Rhinolophus ferrumequinum: one gene and its partners. The protein of the gene in region 4 purifies or fractionates together with the protein of the main gene of each other region. This does not show direct contact. Links are inferred from orthologs where the notes say so. Each region holds a gene or a part of one and is shown on either strand. Other genes may lie near its edges.

Region 1 (7,769 bases), on a different chromosome or scaffold from region 4:
GAAAGGCAAAATCTTAAGAATTCTTGAGAATAGCAAAATTTTAACAGCAGGACATTTAAATTGGTTAATATATATGACAATGTCAACTTACAAAAGAACTCATACCAAATGGATATTCTAACCCAATGCTCATTCTAGACTTGGTTCTATGTCCATTTATGGTTGACAGCATTTCTGATATTTAATCTACTTTCAAGTGGAAAATGTATATATAGTTGCAACTTTTTTTAAACCAGCTTATCCATCACTAGAATTCAAGGTTTCAATATCTTTAATATGATAACAATAAAAAAGATCCATAAATTTTTTTCTTAACAGTTTTTAATTTCATAATTTTTCAGCATCTCAAAACACTCAATATAACCTTAAGAAGCATCAATTAAGCACCTCACTTCATGTAAAATCTTTGGTATCAAGATTTCAATGAAAAGTTTTGTCCTATTCCTTCCAAAGAGGCAATAAATAAATAGATCTTAAACTACAAGAATATTTTAAATATTCACAAGCACTCACGACACTGTAAACATTTACTAGGCACACTATACTAAGCTCTAAGAGCAAAGGGGCAACATCATTCCCTAAAACTACATTTTCACCAAGTTGCTCAAGGTAGAAACACTGTCAACATTGTTTCTTCCCTCACCTCCCACCAAGTCTGATTCTAACTCTGAATTGTCTCTTAGATCATCCTCTATCACTTTACTCCCACAATCATTGACCTACCTCAAGATTTCAGCATCTTTCCCCTAGACTATTATTAACAGTTCCTAGCTGGACTCGCTGCTTCCAGCCTTTCCCTTCTCCAACCTAGCCCCAACTGTGACAGCGAAATGTCTTCAGCACTGGGAAATATCCTTTGGGGGTCAAAGATGCCCCGGTTGAGGAGCACTGTATCAAGTTAATCCCTTACTAAGAATGCATTTCTTTCTTTTTTTTTTAAACTTTTATTTTAAGTGTGTTTTTCCAGGACCCATCAGCTCCAAGTCAAGTAGTTGTTTCAATCCAGTTGTGGAGGGCACAGCTCACAGTGGCCCTTGTGGATATCCAACCTGCAACCTTGTTAAAAGCACGTGCTCTAACCAACTGAGCTAACTGGCTGCACCCAAGAATGCATTTATTTTTTTTTTAAGGCTGTGGCCACAAAAAATTGACCAACATAATGCTGAAATTTACAACCTTGACCTAATAAACTAAATAAGCTGACTCCTTATAAAAAGAGCCATCATACTCTCTTTTAAAACCCTTTGGAACATATGGACCTAAAACATCATCTTACTTTAAGCCTGAATTTTGAAGTCAGTACCTTCTATCAAAGTCTAACCATACTTAGACACATTTAAGTTTCTGGATATTAGAAAATTGTGACAATTTAAAGACTACCTTTTGGGCTTAAATCAAGTCTCCTCAGATGATGAAAACAGGACTTCCTAGGCAAATTATTACCTACATTTAAGGTTGCAAGCTACTTTGAACATAAATATTTTCATAAATATTTCTACAAAAAAACTTTAAAAGTTGAATTCTTGAAAAACAGTAAGATTAAAACACACACACACACACACACACACACACACACACCCTTCTAATTTCCCATAATGATTATGTCCCCACAGAACTTATTATTCAAAGATACAGCCGAGACAGAATACTTTTCAGAGAGGGTAAAAGAGAAGGCGATAAAATATCTAAAAAAAAAAAAAAGGCCTGGTAGGATTAAATTCTAAAGGCCAGGCCTCGCAGTGGAGTAATACCACAGGAGACAGCACCTCTTACCACACCCGTCTGAAGTGTGGACATTCTGTCCAGACGCTTACCTTCAGTCGTTTGATCATTTCGTCGGTGGTGATCTTGTCGGTGATCTCCTTTACCCCCGGAGGGTAAGCAATCTTCCCGTCTGCACTCACGACGCCACAGAGGGCAGTTGCAGGCTTGGGCTGCGCGGTGGAGAAGTCCATCCTGGGGGACAACTTTTCTTTCACAGTCCTCTACCGGCCTCTATCGGTCAGAAAACAAAAGTTCAGCGGGAAAGGGGCGACTTTGTAACCTCTTTTTTCATTTCAAAAAATCTCTAATCTGCAAAGGGCCTTTTCTCCCGGAAGGCCGGGGATTCGGCGGCGGCCCCGCCACCCGCTCCTTCCCGGGGTATGGACCCTAGCGGCTTCCCCTACACACGCGGGCCCGGCTAGTCCCGGGCCCACGGGGCTTTCTGGCACCAGGCGCTGCGGCCGCGGGAAGCGCAGAGCAGCGCCAGGAGTTTCCCATTCCGCCTTTCACAATGAAATCCACCCCCAAGCACCGAGGTCCGAAGTTTGGAGGCCTGGGGAGTCCGGCGAGACCCACAAGCCCCCCGCTCCGTCAGAGAGAAGCCCCGAGTCTCCGCCGGGCCGGTCCCCTCAGGGAAAAGAGACACGAGGCCTATAGTGCTCGGCTTAGGCCGCAAAACTAGCGATCAGACCGGACCCACACGCACCGGCGGCTCCCGAGAACGAACGCCCTTGCCGGGCCGAGCTTCGGGACCCCGGGCGTCCCCGCCACGCTCCCGCCCCTCCCCTGTCCCGCTCCCCCACCCCTACGGGAGGGGAAAACAAGCCACCCTCCACCCTAAACCCCACGCCAGGAAGCGGCTGACGCGGCTCCGCACTTCACATTTTGTTCCTTCAACTTCGGCTAAGGGACCCCAGCGGCTTCTCTCGCCCCCGGCGACTCGGTGCCGTCCCGCGCCGCCGAGGCCTTACCGGCACCTCCGGGCAGCCCTGCCGAGCTTCGGTCCCGCGCCCCCCCCCCCCGCCTCCGATCTCCCCTTCCGTCCCCTCCCTCCACCAGCCGAGGGCGGGAGCCGAGCTGCCGCCGCCACCGCCTTTACCTCCTCCTCCTCATGCGGACAGAAGGTGCATCGAACGCCCGGGCCTCTGTCAGGTGGTTGCGCCGCCGCCCCTCGTCGGGCTGCACACAAAGCGGCTCCGCCGGTCCCGCCGCCGCCGCCGCCGCCCGCCCCGGAGCGGCGCTGGGGCTGGCGGTGCCGAGGAGGAGCAGCCGCCGCGGGGGGAGACGCGGGGCTAGTGTGTGCTGGGCGGGGAGACACTGCCGCTCTCCGTCTGGCTGAGGAAGAGCAGCCTCGGCGGAGGCTCCTCCGGGAGCGTGTGCGCTCGAGTCCCCCCGGGTCCCCGCGGCCCGCCTCCTCGCACCTCGCGCCGGCCGGGTCCGCCGACCCGGACCCGGACGCCCCTAGCAGCGGCGCGCGCCCCGCCGTCCGTGCCCCAGGGAGCCGACGCCTCGCGTACCCACCGGCCGGTCACGCGAGCGGTGCGAGAGCACGCGAGAGCAGGGCGCGCGCCTCGCTCCCGCCCCTTCCTCCGCCGGCCGTGCCTCCGCCTCCCTCGGGCCCGAGGCTGCCGCGCGTGGGGCAGACAGCGCCGCCACCCGGTTGGCGCCAAGACCTGCCGCGCCGAGCGCTACGGGGAGGACGAGACCCAAAAGGCGAGCAGAGGCGGCGGGAAGCGAACCCGGTCCCGGAGGCCCTGTGAGGGTACTCAGGATACTGTACCTTAAGCCGCGGAAATGAGTTCATGACTTTTGGGAGTTATCCTGAAGGACGTGGACGGAACTGGTTGAAAGATGGTTAATTACTCGGTGAAAATGGACTGATTTCCTCCCTAGGGACAGAAGATCTGCAGACGGAGGAAAAGTTTTGCGACATGGCACAACGTGGGCCGCTTATTCTTGTTCTTTCTGACAGCCACCGGAGTTAGCCCTTTCCTCTTTAGATTTCTAGAATGAATATTTTGAAAGCTGCAAAATACAAAAATAGCAGAGTCGAGTGGTTCTCAAAGAATGGTCTGAAAAGTAAGTTCCTGGGCTCCATCCACTCCCAAACCGTGGGACCCAGAAATAAGAATGTTTACAAATTAGCTAGATGGTTCGTGTGAATATGGAAGAACTCATTTTAAAAAGAAGTATTTTAGATATACCGAAGAATAACTTTTTCCTTCATCTAGAGGAAAACCCAATGTAGTGGGTTTGAGCAGTTTAATGTAAAAAGTTGAACAAGTGAACCTCAGAAGCACATTGGTGCTTCAGAAGACGAACTTAAAAAAAACAACAACCCACAATAGTATGAAATAGCATTCAGCTCTTGAAACTGACTACTATCACAAGTTTAAAATGATATGCGATTATTCATTTAAATTATTCTTGATGGGTATCCCTTGGTCTTTTCCACATCCTTTCCTTAATCTTAAAAATATTAGAGGTACTGCACTCATGAATTGTTTTTCAGGTATTACACAAGGGAGATTCCAATCGCTTGGAATCTAACGTGCCACAGTTGCTGATTTACTAGAACTCTGCCTGAAAGTCTGTGCTTTGTTCTTGGGCAGTTAGAGTAGCAGGCAGAATCCATTCAAGAGTGGCTCTTTAGGCTCTCCCTCTCGCAGTGTTTTTTTATCTGTCACATTTAAATACCTAAAGAGTGATTGATGCTTTTCATTTTCATTCTTTCTCTAAGTAATTTTACCCATTATTAAATGGAATTTTGTATATGCCCATAAATTTTAATTTTATTTATTATTTTGTTAATATTGTTTGACTTTATGAACTCAAAAGATAGTAAGCCCTAGGGATTACAACACATAAACTTATATATTCTATAATTCAGGAATTCTAAAATTCCTGTTTTTACTTCCTTTCTTAAACATTTCTTTCCACTTACAGTAAATGAGATACAATCATTTGTGCATCAATTATTTTAAGAGGACCAACAATTATTTTAAGGCATTGTTTTGGTCACCGAGAAAAAAAATTGGTAGTGGGGAAGGGGACAAAATTCCTGCCTGCCTTGTTGGAGCTTAATTTGGGGGGGAGAGAAAAACAAACAAACAAACAAACAAATAAATAAATTGTTATAGAGGAAAATAGAGAAGAAGGGTGATGCAGATCCAATATAGCCTTTTGGACCTTTGTCCTTTGGTTTGTACTCTGACTGAAATGGGGAATTATTGGAGTGTTTTAAACAGAGAAGTGACGTGGTATGATTTATGTTCTATGAACGAGCAACCTTGCACAAATTACTTCATTTTTCTATGTAAAACAGGGATACTCATTTTCATCTGTAAAACAGGGATAATAGTTTTTTATTTCAGAGGGTCATTATGAGGAATAAATAAGTGAACATTTGTAAATTGCTTAGAATAGTAACTGGCACATACTGAGCTCTACTAATTTATATATATATATATATATATATATATATATATATATATATATATATATATATATATATATAATGAAAGAATCACTCTAGCTGCTGGGTTGAAAATAATGTAGAAATGCAAGTGTAGAAGTAAGGTAACTAAGCATAGACAACTGCAAAAATCCCAAGGAGAGATAGTAATAAGAACAAGGTAATAACTAACAGTGGAGGTGATGAAAACGATTTAAGAAAAAGAGTAGAGTCAAGAAATTAAAGAGGACTCCAGAGTTTTAGACCTTAGTAACTAGGATAAAGTAACTATTAATATAACATTAACTAAGGGGAGCACTTCGAGTATGCTTGGAGCAGATTTAGGGTCAGGATGTCTTTTAGACATCTAAGCTATTTAAAAGTCAATTTAAACGGTTACTGAACTGCTGCAGTGGGTAAATGCATTGTACTATGGTAGGCACGGGGGAAATATTTAAAAAGCAAAGAAGACAAAGTCCCTGCCATTAACAGGATCAGAATCTATTAGAGGAATCAGAGACACAATGAACGATAATTCGAGGCAAGGCTGTGATATATTCTATAATAGAGCTTTGAACTACATGGTCTATGAGCCTAGGAAAGGAGTGCTATGGTAGCTTTCCAAAGAGGAGCATTTGAAGCTGGGCCTTGAATGGTGAGTAATCGTGGTGAGCATTTGAGGAGCATTTGAGGCTGGGCCTTGAATGGTGAGTAATCGTGGTGAGTAGTTGTGAGAGGGCAATAGCTAATAGAGATAAGCACAAGGTGGAAAATGGCACAAGGAAAAGAATAAAACACAAAGGGGCGGGGATGGAGGTAATTAAGTGTAATTTTCGGGCAGGGTAGGGTGGTATAGTTAGAACAAATTGAAGAAAAGAGTAGCTTCGTGAGTCTTATTCTACCCCACATAATTTCAGTCAGCACCCCTCCCAATATACACAAATACAAGCATACAGTCTACATACAAAATGACATCTAATGCACCTTTAGGATAAATCCTTATACCCCTATATCAACCATACTACTAACCACAAATTCTGTAGAGAAATTCTAGATCCAAACTCTAAGGCAGTTCTGTCCAATAGAAATTTCTGCAACAGTAGAAATGTTCCATACCTGCATTGTTCAATACAGTAGCCGCTAGCCACATTTTAATTAATTTAATTTTGAAATCTAAACAGCCACATCTGGCTAGTGACTACTGTATTGGACAATGCAGTTCTAGAGTATAGTTTGTAGGAGTGATTGAGAGAAGTTGAGGGTAGAAGACAAACTGTGTTCATACTGAATGCTGTAGCTATTTAGCACAGCGATATTTTAAAAGGATGAATTGGAGTAATACAAAACTAAAGTCATTTATAGTGAAAGTGAACTAAGACAAAAATATAACCAAATTATAAAATTGCAAAAATATTTAAAGCAGTTTTTAAAAATGTGTTTATTCTATTTATCTGAAATTACTTGATTTTCAATTTGAAATGTAATTTGCTAAATCTATCCCGAATAATTTTACAAATTATAAATATGAATCATCCATGTATCTCCGTCACAGATAAATTTTAACAATATGTCATAATCACTATGAAACTAAAAAAATGGTACTTTATTTTAGTGTCTTTTCAGATACCACCGACAGCTTAGATTTGTTAAATATATTTAGGCATAGGATAATAGCATATCTATCTGTAGTGAATGAAATGAGTTTGACATGTTTCACAGCTGTCTGAATCATTTTGGTCTAGTATGACCAAGACGTTAGGATTAACTTGTTTGTCATAGTAATTTAAAGATTTTATTTGAATTTTGTCTAATATCTTAGTCTCCATGAACATCTTCAATTTAAAGTGTGAAGTGTGACCCACCTCATTAGCTGTATTAGCTTTCTTTGAGTTGTTTCATCAAAATTGAGTATTATTTAACAAGCAGGGACCGCAAACCACAACGCAATATTTTCAAATATGAAAGAAACTACAGGTACAAGCAACATGGGTAAACCTTAGTGACATAATGTGATAACCTGTTTACAAAATCCAAAAGCAAGACTCCGGGCAGTGATTACCCCTGGAGTACAGGGGAAGCAGGCAACATAGGGGAACAAGATGAGAGAATAAGTGCAAAGGTAGATACATTCTTATTAAATCTTTATTGTTAGGCAGAGTGGTGGTTCACATGTGTTCTTTGTATTAATTATATTAATGAACATATGAATGAATGAATGAATGAATGAATGAGGGCAATCCACGGACCAATGAGGGATGTGTTTATAACCCAAGAATTATGATTAATCCAATTCAGGGTACCTGAGGTCCAGAAGAGAAAAAAAAATAGACAAACTGAAGAAATTTTTAAAAAATTTATATTATAATATAAAATTTTTTGAAATTATATCCCCCAAAGTCAAAGAAGTTCTGCCCCATGATAATTTTTTTCCTAATAGTGGTAGTAAATTGAGAGATTATTTGGAGTTACATTTTATACAGATGCCATTTTGCAGCCCTTCATTAAGTTGCTAGTCCTAGGACGATAAATGATTATATGACTGAAAGAATTT
Region 2 (7,490 bases), on a different chromosome or scaffold from region 4:
AGGCACAACGGAAGCACACAGGTGGCTGGTTTTAAAGTAAAGAAACTGAGGCCCAGGGTGGGGGTTTCCATGGGAAGAGCAAGTTTGCTGAAGACACTGCATACGACTCTTGTTTGACTCGAGTTGTACCACCATCGGTTAGATGGAATTAAAAGATTTCTGACCCCTCAACCTTGAGATCATGAAGAAACTGATTTGTTTGCTGGAGTCGGGGATCTAGTTGAGTGTTAGGCTGCAGGACTTTCCTTAGTGGAATTTGTCTTGTGGGACGTGAAGTTTAAAGTGGACGCTGGCCCTGAGCTCGGGGACGACTTCAGCAGCTTGTGCAAAGAGAACAGACACGTTTCCTCTGAGCCTTGTGGTTCCATCGTAACAACCACGCCCGCTGTTTGAAAGCAGCCTGGGGAGGGGTCACTGCAGTCCAGAGGAACTTGGGCAACTCGGAAGCTCTCCAGCTTAGCACGATGTCAAAACGAGGGCCACAAAGCCACACGTCCTCGGGGCAGCCTTTCCTGACCCAGTTAGGTCAGCTCGCTCTGCTCTAAGTTCTCCTAACTGTATACAGTTCCTAGCACTTAGCAGTTGTAATTGTGTGTTCATTTTGTGATTGCTTGGACGGGTCTGCCTCCCTACTAGACAGCGGGTGTGAAGGTGACACATTGTGTTGATTACGCTTTCCATTCTATTTAGTCCAGCAGCTGGTGTATGGCACGGGACTCAATAAATATTTATTGACTGTGTGAATGTGGTATTTCTTTGTCTTTCTGATGTTATTCCTGACATAAACTGAAACAGGTATGACATTGCCATGGGAGGGAGAGCGCGGGGGTCAGAAGCTTTCAAGCGGGTGCAATTCTGTGGCTGGCACAGATGCAGACAAATGGGCCATCTGGGGAGAGTTCTGGTTACCTCCAGAAAGACAGGCACCCCTGACAAGGAGGTGGCTTGAGTTTGCTGCCGGATTTTGTGACTTTAGGTTTGAAAGTTTCATTGTTTTGTTTTAGGTTCCCTTCCCCCACAACCATCCTCACTCCCTCGGTTCCAACTTTCAGGAAGGGGTCTGGGAACCGACCCGTCATGAGGAGCTGTTATCACTGGCCTCTATGGGGATGTTTCATGGAACAGCAGCTTTGCAGAGCTCACTGTCACATTAGAACTGAGTCTCCCTATTGCGATAACCTTGGTTGATGTTTCTACAGTTGAGGAAGCTTTCAGATCATCTGTGTCTCAGAGACACAATGTGAAGTAGTCCGCTCAGAACCATGGCCCTCAGTGTATAGCTGAGGAAAGGGAGGTTCAGAAGACGTCGATTTACCCAAGTTACAGTACAAACAAGAACAAGTGAACGTTTTTTTGGAGAGCTTACTCTGTGTTGGGGCCCTCTGTATTTAGAACATATCATTTAATCCTCTACACATCCCCACAAGATAGGTAACCATTATTATCACTCCCATTTTACAGATGGGGAGACTGAGACCTAGAAGTCATTTGCCACAAATTGCTTAAGCAGGAGGCGTAGAGCCAGGCTTCAAACCCAGGTTGTCTGTCTCAGGAGCACAGAGGATGAACCACTAGGTATTCCCACTTCTTGTTCAATTTTGCTGCTTTATTTTGCCATTTTTTAAAAACCTGTTTGCAGTTCCACCTTAGCTTAGAATGTATCAGTCAGAGACCATTGTGATGTCTTTGCATGATTGAAATTATATCAACGAAGTCCAGTTAAAAATCCCCTACATTTACTAATTTTAAAAACGTATTGAATACATTTACTAATTTTATTTTGTTGATGTGGCCTGTCCATTGGAGGGCACCTCCATTGAATATATTGAGGAAAGTTTGTACCTTTCTCTGACACTCTACAAAACATTGTTAAGAAGTATTAAAACATGCAAGTCCATGAAAACAGGTGATTATATGAGTTCTTTTTAGACTAGTATCTCTTCAGGGAGATGACAAATGACCAATAGTGACCGGCACACTTTGTGCCCTCTACAGAACCAAGTCGCTCTCCCAAGTGGGTTCTCTATACACTAGACTTTGTAATCAAAAACATGAAAATGCCGTAATTTGTAGTCGATAAGAACAGTCACAGCAAAAGTGCCCTTTCTTGAAATCTAGGTAGGTAAGTGATCCGACAAGATTTTGGGCCTATGCACAGAGCTGTGACCCAAGCTGGACACCCAAGCTCCTGGTCAGTAGGGCAGTGAACAGAAAACTCAGCAGAGAGAATGGTAGTTACGTTGTCTTTTGAATGTCACTGCCTACATTTCAAAGCCACATTAGAAAGGATATTGACTCATATTTGTGTGTGTGTGTGTGTGTGTGTGTGTGTGATCTGTGCCTCTTCCCCTGTCCGTGATGGATAATTGAGGTTTTAATATACAGTAGTGACATTCTAGTAGATGAAGGAAAGGGGCAGTCCCGGAGGGCAATCTGAACTTCTGCTTAGTATATTTACTCTTGCTGTTTTTCCTTCCTCCTCATTTGTAATTCAGGAGGCTCTCTGAGAAGAGAAGGACAGCGAGGCTTCTCAGATGGATCGAAGGACCATGAGCTGGGATACCGGTTTCTTTGAAAAGGTCTGCTATTGAATTTGCTCTGCTACTTTTAGGCAAATCATTTGGTCACGCTGTGCTTTGGTTTCTTCCTGTGCTTGCTGGGTGTAAATAACATGTGTTGGAGTATTTTGTGATTATTATAGAGTATGATAATATGGAAATGATTTATTCTTCCAGGAGCGCTGCTCAGGTGAGAAGTGAAAATCTGCTCTTTTTGAGATGCTGGGCTCCTTGGCAGTCACCTGACCCTGTCCTTCAGACTCCAGAGCCATCTAGTTGCTTCTTGCTCATCTGACACAATTTGCAGACTCTGAGCTGCAGCTCATCAGGCTTAGAGTGGGGGGCATTACCTTTTGTTTTCAGAAACGAAATATGTCATTTTATATGCTCTTGCTGCTTTCACCCCTGTCTAAAAGATGAAGGGTTTCTTTTGGCACAGAGCTGCTTTATCTGTGACACTGATCCCAAGAGACAGGAGGGAGAGGAGACATGGTAAACAAACTGAGGTATTTGGACGTCCTACCATAGATCCTTTTTGATGATTTGGGCCAGGATCACGAGAGGTTTGAATTAGATTTAGTAAGGTGCAAGCTCTTTGGGGTTTTGGCAGGAAGCAGTCCCAGAGTATAGTGGAAGAGAACGCAAAGTACCCTCCCCCTTTCTTAATAGCCTACGTAGCATTAGGCAACAGGATGTCTCTGTTAGCGATAGATAGGTGCCAAGCTGAGATTCTCTGAATCTAATAAAAACGTCTGTGGGTAAGGAATGATTTTGTTCCGCATCAGTGGATGTATAAATGACAGCCTCTGAAATGCAACGTTGGCGTTAACAGGTTTCTTTTGAACTAAGATAAAATGTATATACAGTATTTCTAGAGCAGTTAAATCCAAAGCATTCTCTAAGCAAATCGAGGAAGGTGTTCAACTTCGAGAACCCATGAAACATGTTACTCCTTGGTTGCAGCTTGGGTAGCAGCAGGAAGAACTTCAGACACAGGAACACAGTGTAACCCTTCAGGTTTGGAATGTTGCTACTAGGTCTCCCCGAGCTATAAATGATTAAAGACACATCCGGGTAAATACCAGCTCTTAGTTGGCTTTAAGAGTGTCGTGCCCAACTTCCGCCTGTTCGTTCCAGGAAACAAGCAGCCAGGGACTCCAGTTTGGGGTCTTCCTTCATTCTTGGACAGGGTCATCAGGACGTCAAAGCATGACCTACAGGTGCGCCAGCTGCAGTAGCTTCCAACAAAGGCAGAGCTTTCACTGAGGCCTCTTAGAAACCAGTCGCCTGCAACTGGCCTGGCTTGGGGAACGGGACGCGGTGGTCTGCCCTCCGCCCCCAGATGCCTGCCTGCAAAGCAGGCTGGAGGCCCCCGGGGTGAGGGTCTGGCTTGTTGGCTCTGAACGTAAATAGGAAGCCACGCAGCTAAGCCAGGAACGGCGACGAGCGGGCAGCGTCCGTCTCCCGCAAGGACTCAGTCTGATTGTCTGGTCCTAGGAAAGGAATGCGCCGCCGCCGCCTCTGCCCCGGACCAATGGGCACAGCAGGGTTCAAGTCCGGCCGGGGTTGGGATGAGCGGCCCAGAGCCGATCACTAAGGCGAGCCAACCCCAGAATTCCCGCGGCCACCACGGTGGAGGGACCGGGAGGCTCCAATTACCGCCTTCGGAAGGGAGCCTAAAAAAATTACCATCATCGCCGCCATTACGCGGAGCTCGGGGCCGAGGAGAGGCTGGGCCGCGCGCGCCAGGCGAATGCGCGCTCCCTCGGCCCCGCCTCCCGGCCGGCCCGACCCGCTGATTGGGTGGAGGGGAGCGCGCCCCGGCGAGAACGCGCCCCACCGCCGCTCGTACGTGCTCCGGGTGGAAACCCGCGCCGCCGCTGGCGGCGTTCCGCGGGCGGAAAGGAAGGGGGAGGCGGGAAGGCCGCGCGCCGCCCGCCCCTCCCCACCCCCGCCTCGGCCCTGCAGGGGCTGGATGGGCAAGTTGGGCGCGATGGCTCGGGCCCGGGTGGCGGCGGCCGGAGGCGGCGGCGTCTCCCGCTCCTCGCCGCGGCGCCGGCGGTGATCGGAGCGAGCGGCCGCGGTCCCTGATGAGACTGCTGGCGGGCTGGCTGTGCCTGAGCCTGGCGTCCGTGTGGCTGGCGCGGAGGATGTGGACGCTGCGGAGCCCGCTCACGCGCTCCCTGTACGTGAACATGACGAGCGGCCCCGGCGGGCCGGCGGCCGCCGCGGGCGGCAGGAAGGAGAACCACCAGGTACGGAGCGGGCCGCGGGCGGGGGCGGGGGCGTGGCGGCCGGGCCTTCCCTCGCGCGGCCGCCGGCGTGGGGGCGGCGGGCCGCGGCGCCTCGCGAAGTTTCCCGGGCCGGGCGCTCGGCCCGGGCCCCGCGGCGCCTTTTGTTCCCGGCGCGGCGGCCGCGGCCTCCCGTGTCCCCGGCGCGGGCCGGAGCGTGGGCGCCCCGGAGCCCGCATTGTTCCCGCGTCCCAGGCGGTGGCTGCAGACGTGCGGCCCCCTCGGGGCCCGGGGACCGTGGGGGCCCGTGGGCGCGCGGCGGGCGCCGGGCCTCGGGGAGCACCGCCCAGGCCCAGCCCGTCGCCCCGCGCACGCCCCGTGCCCCCGCGAGGCCGGCCCCGCTTTTTGTCTGGAGCAGTCCGCGGTCGTACAAAGGGTCATAAAGGAACGTGGCCGTGCACCGCCCGCCGCCGCTCAGCGCCCCGGGCTCCTTCAGGTGACATGTCCCCGCCGCCCTTAGAACAGGCGTTTGACAGGTCGTCGCTCGCGTCCCACCCGGCCCGGGACCTCGGCTTCCAACTTGGATGTTGGTGCCCGACCCGAAAGGGGTGGTGAGAAGGGAGGGAGGTGATGGGCGCCAGCTCGGAACTGGCAGGGTTTTCACACCGGAACTGGGCAGGAAGGAAATGTTTCAAGAGTTGCAGTTGATGCGATGGGACCGGCTGGGTCGTCTTTTTTTTTTTTTTTTTTCTTTTTTTTTTTTTTTTTTTTTTTTTTATTAGCTTGGTTTTGTGCCGTTTAAAGAAGTACGTGCAGGTCAGCTGTGGAATGAAGAGTGAGAGGTGTCCTGTTTGACCACCAGGTAGTTTGCAGCTCACACGTGACATGCGTTGAAAAGACACGCTGTTGAAGTCTATAGTGTTGGCTTATAGTAGCATTTACAGTACATTTTGCCTTTCCATTTATTCCCCATTTTGTGTCTCATCGTTTTCGTAGACTTCTCGTTTTCTCCTGTGTGGCTTTTCTTGTTATGCTGGGGGTTCAGAGACTTTACACCCACGTTGTCTTTGTGTGTGTGTGTGTGTGTGTGTGTGTGTGTGTGTGTGTTTAAATGAAAGGAAGGAATTATCCAAGGGGCGGAAAGCAATTCATTCAGGAAAGTAGCATTTAGTTTTCAGTTAGCAAATATTTATAATGGCCCGTTTTCTGTTTGTAAAGGAAATCATAAATTTCCATGATTTTTTTTTTTTTTTTGGTAGTCCCACAGCTGTGGCAATTCCTATGATATTGTTAGGTGATTTTAAGTTGCGAAACCACGTTCTTTGCTATGGATTAATTACTTACATTAGTCTTTTTAGGTAAACAGCTCTACTGTAGTGATGACGAACAGTTACCAAAATGTCATATATCCGTATGAAACATGGGTAATGGTGTAAAACAGTGAATTAAAAATGTCACTTTCAGCAGTTGGTTGAAATAAGGTCCCGGATAGGATAAAAACAAGGCTGATTTCCACTGATGTGGAATTATGGTTGAAGGTTTTAGCTGTTGGTGTTTATTCTAACACTTGTGACCACCTCTACTGCAACAGACTGGATATGTTTCGTTGCTCATAAAATGGGACGAATGTTAAAAATCAAAAAACCGTTTCCTTTGATTTTTATGGAACCTAGGTGGAACTATAGCTATAGATGTAGCCTCAGAATATCTCCTTGTAACAAAGGCTACTTTCTAATGTTGTACCTTTTAAAGCTGCATCATCTGTCAGGTTCTAAGGAAAACTGGTGCTGGTTTTGGATACCTCATTTACTTCATTATGCTTTGGAGATACTCAGGAGTGTGTGTCTGTGTTTTAACCAGTGGCACTAACAATTTGGCACCTAATTTCTCCAAGGTGGAAGAGTAAACCGGTGTTTTCTGAATATTGAGAAGGAGAATAGATCTTTTCCTTAGAATGATCATTCCCGACTTTATTTCGAGATGATACATTCACATTATGAAAATGTTGTTCACAAACAAAGCTTAAAATGAACAAAAGAAATATGTATGCAAACCACAGTGAGGTTAAATGAAACAGGAGACTGTCTTCTCTGCTTTATGTTCCAGGATCCTGGATTTGCTTTATAAACTTGGTTGCTTGTGAAGTAACTCAACTCTAATGGTTCTCCCCCCTTCAAATTAATAGTTTTATACAAGGTCTTCTGGTGTTCATTTGGGTATGTGAGTTCCATAGCCAGCCACATCTGGTTCTTTTGGAGTTGCATGAAAGTAAGGTTATGGATTTGATTGAACCATACTTAGCACAAGCTTTCCTTATGGTTATTTTATTAAGAAATTATGATGGAGGATTCTATGGTTAAAAGAATCCTCCAGCACTTGGGCAATGTTTCTTCATTAACAATTGCTATTTAGTTACTGTAGCCCAGAGATGCAAGGCTTCTTTGAGCTAAAGCAGCTCTGAAACTATAGTAGCAGCACCACTGCAATAACTCGGTTTGGTATGCTAGCTTCAAAACTGAGATTATGTTTCACTTGGGGCAAGCCGAGAAGCAGGGAAGGGGGGGGCGGGGTTGGCTTGCAGGCCAAATTGGATCACTGACTTTTTTGCACAACCTGTGAAGTAAGCTATATTTTTAAATGGTTACAAAAAATAGGATGTTTTGTAACACGGGAAAGTTTCTTATGTGAAATTCAAATTTCA
Region 3 (6,832 bases), about 30 Mb from region 4:
TGTCTCATTACTTTCCTATGTTGAGTTGGAAACTATGGTCATTTTTGATGAGGCAATTATTAGGTTTTTTTTTTTCCCTCTCAGTTCTGCCATAGCAAAGCTATATGAACTTGATAAATCTTGTACTGTGTCTGGTTCTTAATCTCTTCATCTGTAAAAAAGATTGGGTTGAATCAAATTACTTTTTCCCCTTGTTAATGCAGGTAATATTTTATTTCTGAAGGCAAGATGGTGAGCCATTATATTTTTAAAATTCTAACTCACCTAATATTTTTTAGTGCTCTTTGAGCTAGATCTATGTTAGGAACTATGATGAAATTAAAGATATATAAGGTATAGTTTCTGCTTACTGTGTTATGGAGAAACGAGCAAACAGAATTATTATTTTGCAGAATTTCAAGTTCAGAGAGGAGTAGCCTTCAGGTGATATAACCATCAGCTCAATAAGATCCTCAAGGGTTCTTAGCTGTTTGCCGTCCTCAGTGTGTTGACTTCATTCTGAGGTTAGTTCCTCTTGTGGTCATTAGCTTTCTACCAGTGGCAATATAGCTGACTTGTTCATACCTGGTAGGAAAGAGAATCCTCTTCCCTAAGCATGGACTAAAAATCCTTCCCTTTAGTCTGATTGGGCATTTACCCAGGACTATAATGGTTTTCAGGTGTATTAATTAGAATAGTCTAGGATCTAGCATAACTTAAATTCTAGGTCACACTGCAGTAACAAACAAACAAACAAACAAAAACCCAAAAAACAAAAAACTCCAAATCTTAGTGGCTTAAACAACAAAGGTGTATTTTTTCACTCAAACTATATATCCATCCTGACTTGATGAGGGTTGGAGGTGGGCTGTTCTATACTGTCCTTTCTTGGGGACCTAGGTTGACAAAGGTTTTTATCATTTTCAATAATACTGGCCTTGAGGCTGGAGAAGAATAAAAACTCTAAGAACTTATACTTGCAATTAAATGTTTTACCTGGAAGTGACACATACTGACTTCTACCCACAACCCACTATAGACTAGTGGTTACAATTAGTTACATGGTCCAGCCAACTTCAAGGGTAGGGGTGGGTGGCAGGGATGTATGCTTGAAAATGTAATCTCTGTACATGCCTGGAAAGACAGGGCAAGCATTACAAATCTCTACCATACCAGGGAATTCATTTACTGATTGACTCAGGCTGAGTTGCCCTTTTGTAGATGGAGGTTGGATGGTTACCTAAAAAAAACAAACAAAAACAAAACAAGCAACTCTATTAATAAAGAAGATGCAGAAGTGGATGTTGAAAAAGAAATTAACAGTGTGAACTATATGGTACTTTATCCCAAAGGAGAAGAAGGAAATTACAGCCATGGAGGCAAGTCATAGGGAGGGATAGTTTGGTAAGTTTTATCAGTCTTTAAGTCAATCACTTCATTGATTCTTCTGATTGGAAAGATTGGCTCTGGCTCTTTAATGAGTGGGTGTATAGTTTCTATTTAAGGAGTTGGCTCAAAGGTGACTTAAAACATTTATTGAATTTGAAGACATAGACTGTTTCTCCATATTTCATTGTTGTAGTTACTGTCAAGCTGGCTAGAGTTATAGTTTAGAACTGGCAAACAACTAAAATTTATGTAGTACAATCCTTTATTTTATAGGTGAGGAAATTAAGGACCAAATGTGTAAAATGATTACCACAAGGTCATACCTTCTTGCATATAGCAACAACGGTGCTGTCCTTTGGATGATTTACTGCAAAATGGAATCCTTTAAGAAATGTAGCTGGAAGGAACTCATACAACTCAACAACTAAAAAAAATAAACAACCCAACTGAAAAATGGGCAGAGGACCTGAAGAGACATTTCTCCAAAGAGGACATACAAATGGCAAATAAACATATGAAAAAATGCTCAACATCATTAATCATCAGAGAAATGCAAATAAAACCCACAACGAGATATCACCTCACTCATAAGTGTTGGAGGGGCTGTGGAGAAAAAGGAACCCTCATACACTGTTGGTGGGAATGCAGATTGGTGCAGCCGCTATGGAAGGGAGTGTGGAGGTTCCTCAAAAAATTACCATATGACCCAGCAATCCCTCTCCTGGGTATCTACCCAAAAAATCTGAAAACATTTATCCATAAAGACAAGCGTGCTCCAATGTTCACTGCAGCTTTATTTACGGTGGCCAAGACTGGAAAAAACAAAAATGTCCTTTGATAGATGAATGGATAAAGAAGTTTGGTATATAAACACAATGAAATAATATTCGGCAGTATGAAAAAATGAAATAGGACCATTTTTGACAACATGGATGGATCTTAAAGTAGAGAACCATATGATTTCACTGATATATGGTATATAAACCGAAAACAACAAAAGAACAAGACAAACAAATGAGAAACAAAAACTCATAGACACAGACAACAGTTTAGTGTTACCAGAGGGTAAGGGGGTAGGAGGGTGGTAGATGAAGGTAAAGGGGACCAACTATATGGTGATGAAAAGAGAACTGACTCTGGGTGGTGAACACACAATGCGATATACAGATGATGTAATACAGAATTGTATACCTGAAATCTATGTAACTTTACTAACAATTGTCACCCCAATAAACTTTAAAAAAAATGTAGCTGGAGCAACAATTAGAAAACAAGAACAATAAAAAAATTATTAAAAATTATTAGGAATGTTTCCAGGGCTGACATCTGGTTGGTCCACATTGGGGGAGATGGAAAAATTTCTAAACTATTTGGTAAGTAGCTGCTGCTGAAACATCTGAGAGCCTCCTCAACCCTTCTCTGGGACCCCACAGATCTCCCCATGGTAATTACAAGGTCTACCTTGAAAGGTTGATTTGAGAATAAATGATGGAGGCCAAGAGTTTATCATGGGGCCTGGCATTCAGCAGTATTACACACTGGCTATTATTTTTATTATAGTCTTTAATAAAATTGTAGTAAATTTCAAACTAGTTCCTACAAGAATGTTCACAACTTTTGAAATGTGATAGTATTCAAGTTCTTTAATTCGATCAGCTAATCTCAATAAAATGGCTACTCAGGTACTCACTTAACTTTCATTTTGATATTTTTCCATTGTCTAATGGTTGACTTCTCCTTGCCCCACCCGCAAGACCCCACAGTTCTGGTTGAAGACTAAGAATTTGACCCAGGCTGTGTAAAATATGATGTATTGACAAGATTCTATTAGTTCACAGTATAAAATGTCATGAAAAATATTCTGTACAGTGTTTTGTTGAGCAGAACTTATCTTCAAGTTTTTGCATAAGCACAGATAGGACTAAAGCCTAGTTAATGAGGGAGGGGTGGAGGAAGTGGTGGAACACTTCTACTTTCTTAAGCAAATACCTGAAACTAGGAGTGATGCGAGGCAGAGTCAGGCAGCTGGGGTGAGAAGAGAGAGTGAGAAGGCCCAGCAGCAGAGAGGGAGGCTGGAGCTTGTGGAGAAAACATTCTTTGACAGAGATGTTTTCTGGTGGCCAGTGATGTGTAGAACCTTGTGGGGATACTTTCTCACTCAGAAATTTAACCTGGCAAGAGAAAGGCAGTTTCAGTAATATTCCTCTCTGGAAAGAATAAAAGAAATGTGTTTTTTAAAAGCTGAGACTTGTGAATTTTCTGTAAATTGATAATTGGCCTGGAACTTAATGTATAAAGATTTGTTCTCAAAAGTTAGTTGTTTTAACTGATACTTCCAGTTCTGAGGTGGCAGCTAAATCCTGGGCATATCTTGGAAAGGACCTTGATAACAGTGTTGTCACAGGCTGAGAAACGCACTGACTCAACAGAGTGCAGTTGGAATTGCCGAAGACCTAGTTTCTGAGTATATGCTAGAGACACCAGTTATTTGGTATTTTAATAATATTTTATACTGTACTATGAAAATGCATTGGACAAATCTTAGACAAACATTCCTTGGACAGATTTTTTTTTTCCTTTTTGAGCAGGAGGCAGGGAAGATAAATATTTTAATCTCTAGGTTTCTGGAATGGAAAAATGAAGACCAGACAAAAAAACAGGATGTTTTGAGGCAAGAGTAAAGCTTTGAATTTGGGATCTTGAAGTATACAAGGTAAGCTTTGAAGTTAAACATGTTTGCTAAGATTTTTTTTAAATGCTGTTTCAACTAAAAAGTAAATATCCACCTCATATCTGACTTCTAAAAATTATCTACAAAATGACTAATAAGACTTTGGCCTTTAACCCATCTTTCTATGGCATAAGCCTAAAATTTGTTTCCAACAACCAAAGCCTGTGGCCCTTATAACAGAATTTTCTTCTGTTTATAAGCTTAGTGCAGAAACGTCTTTAGTGGAGGATAGCAACCATGTATTCAATAAATGATGGTTGATTGATGACAAAGCTCTCTGACTTGGAACATAATTCTGGCTCTGCCAGTATATTTTTTGTGTAACCTTAGATAAGTCATTGTACTTTTCTCTTAATTTCCCCTTTTCACAGGGCGATAATCATAAAAATGATTGTAAACTACTTCGTGAAGAGCTTTTTGTTTAAAGGGCTGCCAATAAATACGAGCCACAAGGTTCAGCAAATCTCCCTCAGAAGCTGAGCTCCTTGAGGGACAGGGAAATTTCTTCTTTGATTCAACAGTATTATATTTGTAATACAGTTCCTGGCCTATAGGATGGTTTCAATACATACTGTATGTAAATTTATGAATGTTATTAGGCAGATTGCAGTCTTGGCAGGCCACTGTCTCTTAAATATCTTTTCTGTGATTCTTTTCACATTCAGCATCTAAAAGTCCGCACTATTTGCTCTAGGATAAGTACCCAAGGCATTTACTTAAAAATAACCAAGTCTAGAGGGATAACTTTTGTCCTTAGGTCACCATTTCGCTTTTCCACGGCACTGCGCCCTAGGCTTGGGATCTGGGTCCGGACGCACAGGGAAGAGTTCGGTACGGGAAGCTCATCCTCTCGCCCTCTGATTGGTCTGCTCGCACTCCACTCACGCAATTCGCGTCCCTGATTGGCCATCATGGCACCCCTTAGCCGGCGACTACTTTGTGTGCGGGGGCAGCGCGCTCCGGTCCTGCGTCTCAGCTCGCGATCTGGGCTGGTGTGGGTTAGTTCTGCGGCTCACTGCTCTGCATCGCGGGCGCCAGGAATTTCCCGAGTCCGAGCGGGTAGGAAGCATCCTAAGGAAAAGCTCCCCTACCCCGTCCCGTGTTCTCTTTCCCATACTGAATAAACTTCCGCTTCAGAGAGGCTGTCGCAGCCGCCAGTCGCGGGTCGGGGGAGAGGCCAGGCATCGAACTCAGGCCCTCGTGGGAGACCTTTCTGTCCGGGCGAACGTGAAAACAGCTCTCATAAGATAAAGTGGGTGCGACTTCGTTAGTCGCATTGTGGGTGCGATGTCATTCTATGGCATCAGTCCGTGTTGCAAACTGCAGACGAGCGGCCAGACCTGCCTGCAGCGACTGAGCAGCAGCAGTCACCCCTAATAAACAGCAAAGAACCGCCTTTCAATCTCCTCCAGTACCAGTGCTCCTTAGGGCTGCGGGCTAAACTGGCATAGGCCGGTCCATTCCTGGCGGTGGAGAATACGGCATTCCCTGGAGGTGGCGCTCCGGGAATGGGGAGTCCGGCTACGCTCGCGCCCCCCTCAGCCTCCGGCCTTCTGGCGGTAGAGGGCGGCGTACGCTCGTGTTGCAGCCGGCGCCTGTGCGCGCAACTGCTGCCCTGCTGGAAGTCTCCTGGTCCCGCTGTGGCCCGCGGATCTGCCTGGCTGTGGATGCTGCGGCTACGCTAACCAAGGGCGCAACGAGAAGGGGGCGGGGTGAAGCCCTAGCACATGCCAGGGTCGCCGTAGGTGGCAGCGGCCGGCGCATGCGCGCCCTCTCCCAGAAGCCTGGAACGCTGAGGGGCGCGCGCCCCCATTCGCGCGCGCACGCTTGCGCTAGCCGGGGCTTCCCCGCCTGCGCTGGTTGTCAGCCGCTCCGGCGCGTGCGCGCGTTATCTTCGGTCGACCGGAGTGGCGGGGTTCCCTCCGCTGCAGGCCCCCGCCCCCCGCCGCCCCCTCCCAGCCCCCAGCCAACCGGTCCCCTTCCTCTTCTCGCGGAATGGGGCCGGCGCTGCTCGGGGTCGCGCGCCCGGGACCCGGCTCGCGCTCGGTCTCGCGCTGTCAGCGACTGCCGGGCTCGCGCCGCCTCGCGCTCTCCCTCAGTCACTGGCGCCGAAGGCTCCGTTAAGCGGCGGCGGCGGTGGTTCCTGTTTCCGTTTCTTCCTCTCCCTTCAGTCGGGAGTAGCATCCTCCACCCAGCCACCCCTCCCGCTGCCCCAACGTTGAGCAGCTGCGGCTGAGGGCTGTGGCGGCGGCGACTGGGGAACGGCGGAGACCGCCTCTTCTCCCGCCTCGGGTAAGGGGGCGTTTGGGGGCCGGGCCCCGCGAGCCTCGGAGTCTGTGGCTGGGGAAGCGCGGGATCTGATGAGGCTCTGGGGATGTGACTGGAGGCTATCGCTGCTCTTTTCCCCCAGGCGATCCACAGGCCTGTTGCTGCAACTGCTGCTGCTTATCCAGCGGCTCCGGGAAAAGTGGGGAGGGAGCCCCTGGGACGCTCTGGCGGGTGCCTTTGAGCGGACCGGAGGGCGCGGGCTTGGGGGTGAGGGGCGCCCGCCGTCCGGACCTGGACGCGGAGCGGCGGCGTCGCTGCTGCTGCCCTCGGCGTCTCGCATCCTTGCTTAGGGCAGGGGCCGAAGCCGAGGAGAGAAGGGATGGGGGCGGGGTGGGAGGTGTCCCTCTTCTCTTCTCCATGTCTACCTGCCCTTTCGCCAGCAACTCGGTCCCTATAGTCACTGGC
Region 4 (7,912 bases):
TATGTATACATGTTATTCTATATGGTCAACTAATTTTCCTAGCACCATTCATGAATAAGCTTTTATAACATAATACAGAATATTCAAACTTTTATGTGTATCAGGATGATCTGGAAGGTTTGTTAAACTACAGATTGCCTGAATCCACTCTTAGAATTTCTAATTAAGTAGGTTTGGATGGGGCCTGAGAGTTTATATTTCTAACATGTTCCCAGGTGATTCTGATACTTCTGGTCTTGGAAGCACACTTTGAGAATCACTGTTAGAATGTATAGTGGAACTTCATGATCAGGGTGTTGTGAAACATTAAGTGTGACGAACTGCGATCTCCCTATTTCTGGGATGGGTGTGCAGAGCCAAAAATAGCAGGAGAACTGAGGCTGGTGATCTTGTAGTCACATCCATTTACTCTGGTGTGCTCTATACAAATATCATTTTTTATGTATTCCCTGACGTGAAAAAGCTAGAAATGACTGACAGACAATACAGTTTGGTGGTTATGAACATGAGGCTTTGAAATCTCACAGACTCTGAGCAAGTTACTTAACATTTTTGAGCCTCAGTTTATTTATCTATAAAGTGAGAACACCTTTCAGCCACACTGTTCAATAGACCTTTCTGGGGTGAAGGAAATGCTCACATGTGGCTGTTGAGCATTTAAAATATGGCTAGTGCAACTGAGGAACTGAATTGCTTTTATTTAATTTTAATTAACCTAAATTTACAGAGTCACATGTTGGTGATCATCAGCAAAAATAGCAGAGTAAGGACCTCTGCAAATCATCTCCTCCATAAAAGCAATATGAACATGGGCAAAAATTGTCCCAATCAATTTTTCAGAACTCTGGAAATTAACCAAAGGCTGTTACAAGTAGCATTTATTCAAGGAAAATGGATGAATCTTGGTAAGAACAGTGAGCTCTGTGGCATTTTAACTTGACTTATACCTAACTCCCCTCTCCAGCTTTTCAGTAGCCTTGAAACCAACAAGCAGCAATCACAGTGAAAATCTCAGCCTGGAAGCCCCTGTAAGGGTTAGAATGGGGCTGGAGCTCCTTAAAAGCCCCATTCTTAAAGAACTGTCATTATCTGACCTGTCTGGTGGTTCCCTGGAAGACCATTACATGCCAGGCTGTTTTGAAAGCCACTGAGGTAGAGGGACCAGCCAGTATGAAGGCTTTATGGGCAAGAAAGAGCTTTGTGAATCGTAGAGAGAAAGGCAGCCAGCCTGGCTGAAGTGAGTACTGGGAGGAGTGGTATGAAATGAGGTAGGAAATATATACAATTTTCCTACATTTAACCTCCAACCAGCACCTTAAATCTGGACTGCCACCTCTGTTCTCATCATGGTTCATCATTAAGAGACAACATACATGGGAGAATGCTCTCCCTACTTTAATGTCACTTTGTAAACAGTCACTGAGAAGTTAGCAGTCACAGTAATGTGACTGTGAAATTAATTTCTAAACAAAGAATGTATTTTATAGTGAGAATGTATTACTTAACACAATTTAAAAAATGAAAAATAAAACCAAGTTCATAAACCCTGGGGGAGCCATTTTCTGCTTCCTTTCAGTTCCTCCCTATAAAGAAAAGCTTTCAGGTTAGTTGGTAGTATTTAATTTTGCAAATCTCTTGGATATAAATCCAAAAGAAAATACTATAAAGAGACCACTTTAGTAAAATGTAGAGGGAAAAAAAATCAGGCAGCTGGGACTGCAGATGCGGCTCTTCCATTACTACCTAATTTCCTCACAACTGAACCTCTCTGGGCCCTCACATTCCTTATGAGAAAAAGAAGGTGGAGCAGGTGTTCAGCAAGGTCCCTTCATATTGTAAAAATGTATGATTCTAAGTAATTTTAGCATCATTTGCTATTTTAAACATTGCAAAAATTAACCTGGTGTTTTATCAGAATTTTTTTTTTAAAAAAGAGGAAGTTACATGATATACAATGAAGATATTATACAATAAGTTTGTGTTGTGCTCAGGTTGATCTGCACTTTGGAACTGTGGCCTTTTCACATCACAAGAGATCAGTATCTTAATAAATAACGAGCTTCCTGAAAAAGAAAGTTTAAACCTCAAATCACGTGTAACTAAAGCTTGACAAATGGAAATGTCAAGTGAGTTGGCAACACAACTCACCTACAAGTTCTCCAATCATGAAAAGCAAGTACAGAACGGCAGCAATGGTCAATCTGGTTTTCACCTTTCTCTGCTTCAGCAACTCTCTCCGTTTGTTGCAGTTGTCACAGGGGTCCACCTTCAAACTCAGCTGACTGTTGCTCAAAGGTAAGTCCTGATCCAGTAAGGAATCATCATCGGCCTGAAGGGCCGGGTGCGCCCCGTTAATAGGCCTTTCCGGGGTTTCGGAACCATCATCCGCCACCACAACTCGAAGTTTGTTAAACCGAGAAAGCCCTTCGTCCCCCACCTCGTCCGAGAAGTCAAAGGCGCTGGTGTCATTTAAAAACAGCGGCGCATCATCTTTCCTCAGCAGAGATTTCAGACGCTTCCACGCGCTGGATCCGGCCATCGCAGAGGCCGTGCGGCCGCGGCGCGGAACGGCTCGGTGCTGGCGGACGGCTGGCAGCTCCTACTTCACCGGAGCGCCAGTTCTCGATGGCACTGCCGCGCGTTCCTCCCCATCCTGTGGAAAACGGAACACGTTATAAATTAAAGGCGCCCCATCAGAGCTCACAAGTTCCGAAGCCCAGGGCGGCAGGGGACACAGGGCCGGCTCCAAGGCGCCGGGGCTCCGCGAAGGGGCGGCGCGTCTACCTGGGGCGCTGCCGCGGAGCCGCCGTTCATCTCCCCGCCCTCGGCCGGCTTGGTAAGGCCGGCTCGCACAGCTCGGCCCGGAGCCGCGGGAGAGCGGGGCCGATCTCTCGCCTGCAGCGCCCGCAGCTCCAGGCCGGCTCCGCGGGTCTGACAGGTTCGGAGCCCGGCGCCCGTGACCGCCGCCTCCCGCTGCCCTGAGCGAGGCCGCGCGCGTGCGCCGCAGCAGCCGCAGGCGAAGCGCGCGAGAGAGGGGTCGACGCGGGGATACGCAGGCCCTAGCGCAGGGCTGGGGCGCCCGCGAGGGCGGGGCAGGGGCGCACTCCGCGTACCCCAGCCGGGCGCTGCTGGTCCTTGTCTGCCCGAGGGACACTCGCTGGCGAAGCCCCAGTCTCCGGCCGGACCCTTCCCACTCTCCTTGTTGTGAGACAGATGGAACTGGGGTCCGCAGGGTCAGTGGGTAGAATCGAACGGTCCCGCCCAGGACTGAGCGTTGTGGCCGGGAGGTCGCTCCACCCAAGGAGGGCCTTGGGAAAATCTCGGTCAGATCTTGGTTACGGAGGCTCGGCAGAAAACCAATTTAGCGCTCTCTAGTTGCTGCCTCTCTGGCAAGTTCGCAAAATTTGCTGCACAGTCAGGCCAACTTGGAGAGGGGCAAGGCTTATGGTCGTAAGCAGTTGTGTTTTAATATATATTTAATATTGTTTTTCAGCAAATTATGTGGTGTTCTCTGTGTGCTTACTCCTCGTTCCTTTTGCCTCCAAGTATTCACGACATGGACTAAACCCAAGCACAGAAAATCTAGTAAAAGTTATTTGTTCTGGCCTTTGGTTCTGTTTAACTGAACACATAATTCAAAATCATTAAGTTCTAAGTAGTAGCTTCTAATTTAGACCTAAATTTTAATGGCAAAATGAATCACAATCACTACCCCATCCCTAGTGATTCCCTGGGTGGGTTTTAGAGGATTTAGGAGGCCTTAAACTTATGTGCAAAATTTTGTGAGTATATGTATTTTCTTCAGTAAGTTTCTTAACCATCATATTCTCAAATGGGGTTAAGACTCAAATAAGATTTAAAACAACAGCAACAACACAACACTTACCAGGAGAAATCTTATAGATGAAGCCCCTAACTTCTACGTGGAGCTGAATTGTAGTGCACACTCCTATTTATCCAGTGTCGATAAATGTTTTTTGACAACAGTTGACACGGACTACCAAATTTCAAGTTAACAAGAAGTACAATAAAAAGTCACATGAAACATCATTTTCCTCCAAAGATTCCGATGACACTTAGAATCTTACATGCCTCAGGTGCAAGAACTTTTGGACTCAAGGAGGGTCCCTCACTTTTGACTGCCCACAATATTCCTACAGAGCTGCAGCCGTGGGAGTCAGGTTAGGATATCTGGATCAGAGATCCCATGGTTCCCAAGACCCAGAATATTCAATAATCAGGGCACAGAGGTCGTTATCAGAAGAATGGAGAGAGCTTACTGAAGGTTGCTTGCCTAACCCCAAATATCTTAATCCACCCAGTTTGGGAATAGATTATTTGTTTGGTTTTTATTTGTTTATTATACTGCCTGACATTCTAATGAGAGAGACAAATGAATAAAGCAAATATTTCAGGAGTGTGATAGCTATCTCTTTAGTAGAAATTCTTCAACTGAGATTCCATTTAAGGAAATGGGATAGATGTTTTCAAGAAAAGTTGAGGCCAGAGCATGAATTTTTTTTTTTTTTTGAGTATTTACAGTAAACTTTGTTGGGAAGGATTGCAGTTCTGCATCCCAATTTATTTTAACTATTTTGTATCACTGGGTACCTGAAGAAATGTTGGGAGGACAACAAAAACTATGGTGATTTTAACATATGTCCAAAAATTCTGTGATATGCTTCCTATCAAGAGGTGGAGCTTAATTCCTCCTCTAATTGAGTGTGGGCTGCTCTTAATGAATAGCTTGTGGCCCATAATGAATAGAATCTGGCATAAGTGACAGTGTATGACTTACAAGACTAGGTCATAAAAGGCATTGCAGCTGCCTTCTTGTTCTCGCTCTAGGATCACTTGTACTGGGGGAAGCCAGAGCTACCAGGTCATGAGGAAAGCCCAAGTGATGAAGAACTGAGGCCTCCTGTCAACAGCCATGTGAGTGAGCCGTATTGGAAGTGGATCCTCCAGCCCTCGTGAAGCCTTCCCATTACAGCAGCCTTGGCCATGTTCACTGAAACCTCATGAGAGATCCTGGGCAGAAACACCCAGGTAAGCCACTTCCAGATGACCCAGAGAGACTGTGAGATAATAAATGTGCATTATTTTAATATGGTAAGTTTTGGGGTAATTTATTACCCAGCAGTAAATAACTAATACACTCTATATCAACTTTCCTTTGTATCAGGAAACACACTTTTCTTATTCTTTAATCATATAGGCTCTTGTTCATAGGTCTGCCCTTGGGTTAGTGGCATGATTTCTATCATTGAGCTTTAAAATGTGCTAAATAAAAAGACTTCTGTGAATAGTCTTGGAATGTAACCACTATTTGCAACCTTGACAAAGGAACTTTTGAAACATAATCCATTTATAATCTGGGTACTGCCTGTTGTTCTGCTAGCTATTGCTCAGTATACCATTCTTTTATAAGATACTTCATATTTCTTTCAGCATGAAGAGCTTTTTTGCATGGGAAAATGAAAAAGTTGCCAACCATTTGGCCCATCGCTTAACCAGGTAACTCATAATACACAGATTGTTTAGGTAATAGCAGAGGCCTGTCAGTTCAATTGCAAGACACAGAACATACCATGGGGCAATTAACTGCAGTAGATGCAAAATATCCTATGTTAAAATCTGTTTTCTGGCCCAGACATCTCTTGGAAGAAATGACAATGCTAAAAATAATATTACAGCCAACATTTACTTAAGGCTTGTTTATGTGCCAGGCACTATGCAAGGGACCTAACTTATATTAGCTCATTTAATTCTTAGAACATCACTATGAAGAACGTAGTGATTCAAAGCATGGGTCTTGCAATCATACTGTATTTGAATCCTGGCTTTACCATTAACAGTCATATAATCTTTGGTAAATGATTTAACCTCTTTGTGCTTCAGTTTTCTTGTGAAATCCCTCTTGGAGATGAAAAAAAAAGTGGAAAAGTTGTTTGTTTGTTTTTAAATTGAAATATGGGAAAAGGTGCCGCTTAGTTGTCAGGTTCAAATGCTGCATATTCCCCATCCTGAGAACTCTCTCTATTGGAGTCTGTAGGTTCTCATAGGATGTTTTTGGAATGTGTTCTTTTATCTTTTCCAGGACGGATGAAAGCTATTGGATGCATATGAACAAGGGCTACTGATGTGATACACAACTATGGTGAGTGTAATCATTTCTTCCGTCTATGGATAACGCTAGTAACAGAGTGGCTGGAGATTCAGTTTAACCCCTCCTCCAGAGGAGAAGAAGAAGGACCCGAAATAGATAAGAGAATTATGCCAGGACAGGCAAATTACCTCTTGGACAGGGAGGAGATAAAGGAAAGAATCTCTGGCCAAAAGTCCATCTTTCCTGTCAGGCAAACCTGTGAGCCGAAACCTACTCAATCAAATTCATTGTTTTCATACTTTGTTTTTGTCTTACCTTAGTTTTAAAAGTAAACATTCCTATGGATTCCTCTAACCATGTCTGGCTGAAAGGAGAAGAAATGAGAGATTCCAGCTGGGACAGGGGTTTAAGGACTGAGCACACCAGCCCTGGAGTCTGGAGAGGGTAGCTGGGCTGGGAGAACTTAAAGATAAGGGTGGAAGCCTGACTTTGGAAATGCTTCGTTGTAGATAAGAGCACCACCTGAGAACTTGGAGAACTTGGTTCAGCTGCTAATTTTGCCATCCATTCACTGCAATCCCTAGCAGTGTACTATTGCTGAGCTCATTTTCTTGTCCATAAAAGTAGAAAATAATATTTGCCCTACCTATTTCATAGGGACACTATAAGAATCCAATGAAATTTTTGTATGTGAAAGAAAGCATTCCCTTACCTACTTTTCTAGAGAGAGCTATTAAAGACCATGCTATCTGTACCAAACTGCAAAACAAGGGACCTGGAAAATGCTGGTCATCAAGATTCCTCCACTTGTATCTATCCCTTCTTAGGATTGCTAAACTCCAGTCCTTGGTTTATTAATGACATGCTCTGACTTATTTAGATCTCTTGATCATTGCCACACACATTACTGTTATGACTACTTCATTTCTATCCTAAGCTGTTTTTGTGTCCATAGCACCTAACATCATACTCATACCAGGAGTCCTGTAAGTCCGCATGGATTAAATAAGAAAATATCTTTATCATAGAGAGTTAATCCATAATTTTAAATTTTCCACTAACAAACTTTTTTATTTCTTTAAGCTGGTGTGTAAGGTCATTTCTAAGAAATTCCTTATGGTGAGATCATTCTGTCTCATGATGATTGGAGTTTATTAATACACTAATAGTTTATATTTATACCAGACTTATTTCAAAGAATATTATAACACTTACGAATTAAGCCAAGACAGAGAAGCTACTGCAGACAAAGTGACTCTTTTGTGGCCTCTAACAACTGGTAGCTTTAAACAATGAAGGCTATTGTGTAAGAACGCCCTCCTGGGGTTATTGTGAGGTTTAATTAGATTAAAATCTACAGTGTTTTGAGTTTTTCCTCAGAATCCCTTAATAAATAAAGATGACATTAATTTTTTTAAAGTATCTTTATATTGGTCCCCTCAGAACCAAATGTAACAAGTTCACCTCCTGTTTAACTCCCTATTTTCCCTGAAGCAAAAAAACTCAAGACTAGGCCAACCTAAATTACCTTTAATGGCTTTAAACTGACTACAGAGCACACATGACTGACTACAACTTAGTATCCTAATCACAAAGATCTTAGTGTATGATTTACAGGACACAATAATGCCGCATAATCACTATGCCACATGGTAATTAGATATAAATTACTGTAATTATTACAGCTGGCTTTTTACTGACCAAAGTTTTACTTGCTTTTGTTATTTATATTTGAATAACTCACATTCTGCTCATTTGCAAATAGGGTTTAAAGCAGTAGTTCTTTAGTAGTTCTCTGTTATC

Evidence for each region.
Region 1: the proteins of SLC30A4 (region 4) and PDS5A purify together in Homo sapiens (affinity purification with mass spectrometry; 3 studies listed by BioGRID and IntAct, counting the BioPlex papers as one, with this or other methods). This does not show direct contact. The link is inferred for Rhinolophus ferrumequinum from reciprocal best matches to the Homo sapiens genes SLC30A4 and PDS5A.
Region 2: the proteins of SLC30A4 (region 4) and METTL9 purify together in Homo sapiens (co-immunoprecipitation; 3 studies listed by BioGRID and IntAct, with this or other methods). This does not show direct contact. The link is inferred for Rhinolophus ferrumequinum from reciprocal best matches to the Homo sapiens genes SLC30A4 and METTL9.
Region 3: the proteins of SLC30A4 (region 4) and FUT8 purify together in Homo sapiens (co-immunoprecipitation; 3 studies listed by BioGRID and IntAct, with this or other methods). This does not show direct contact. The link is inferred for Rhinolophus ferrumequinum from reciprocal best matches to the Homo sapiens genes SLC30A4 and FUT8.

The regions. Positions count from the first base shown.
Region 1 is NC_046288.1:14,335,592-14,343,360, reverse strand, and holds the start of PDS5A (sister chromatid cohesion protein PDS5 homolog A), read right to left. Parts: upstream 3,005-7,769; 5' UTR 2,864-3,004; intron 2,773-2,863; exon of another isoform or gene 2,642-2,772; intron 1,996-2,641; 5' UTR 1,956-1,995; coding exon 1,815-1,955; intron 1-1,814. UniProt on the Homo sapiens protein: Probable regulator of sister chromatid cohesion in mitosis which may stabilize cohesin complex association with chromatin. May couple sister chromatid cohesion during mitosis to DNA replication.
Region 2 is NW_022680357.1:16,855,679-16,863,168, forward strand, and holds the start of METTL9 (protein-L-histidine N-pros-methyltransferase), read left to right. Parts: upstream 1-4,485; 5' UTR 4,486-4,648; coding exon 4,649-4,813; intron 4,814-7,490. UniProt on the Homo sapiens protein: Protein-histidine N-methyltransferase that specifically catalyzes 1-methylhistidine (pros-methylhistidine) methylation of target proteins.
Region 3 is NC_046289.1:30,711,416-30,718,247, reverse strand, and holds the start of FUT8 (alpha-(1,6)-fucosyltransferase), read left to right. Parts: upstream 1-3,828; 5' UTR 3,829-5,158; intron 5,159-5,976; exon of another isoform or gene 5,977-6,391; intron 6,392-6,832. UniProt on the Homo sapiens protein: Catalyzes the addition of fucose in alpha 1-6 linkage to the first GlcNAc residue, next to the peptide chains in N-glycans.
Region 4 is NC_046289.1:60,994,936-61,002,847, reverse strand, and holds the start of SLC30A4 (probable proton-coupled zinc antiporter SLC30A4), read right to left. Parts: upstream 3,007-7,912; 5' UTR 2,785-3,006; intron 2,654-2,784; 5' UTR 2,540-2,653; coding exon 2,149-2,539; intron 1-2,148. UniProt on the Homo sapiens protein: Probable proton-coupled zinc ion antiporter mediating zinc import from cytoplasm potentially into the endocytic compartment. Controls zinc deposition in milk.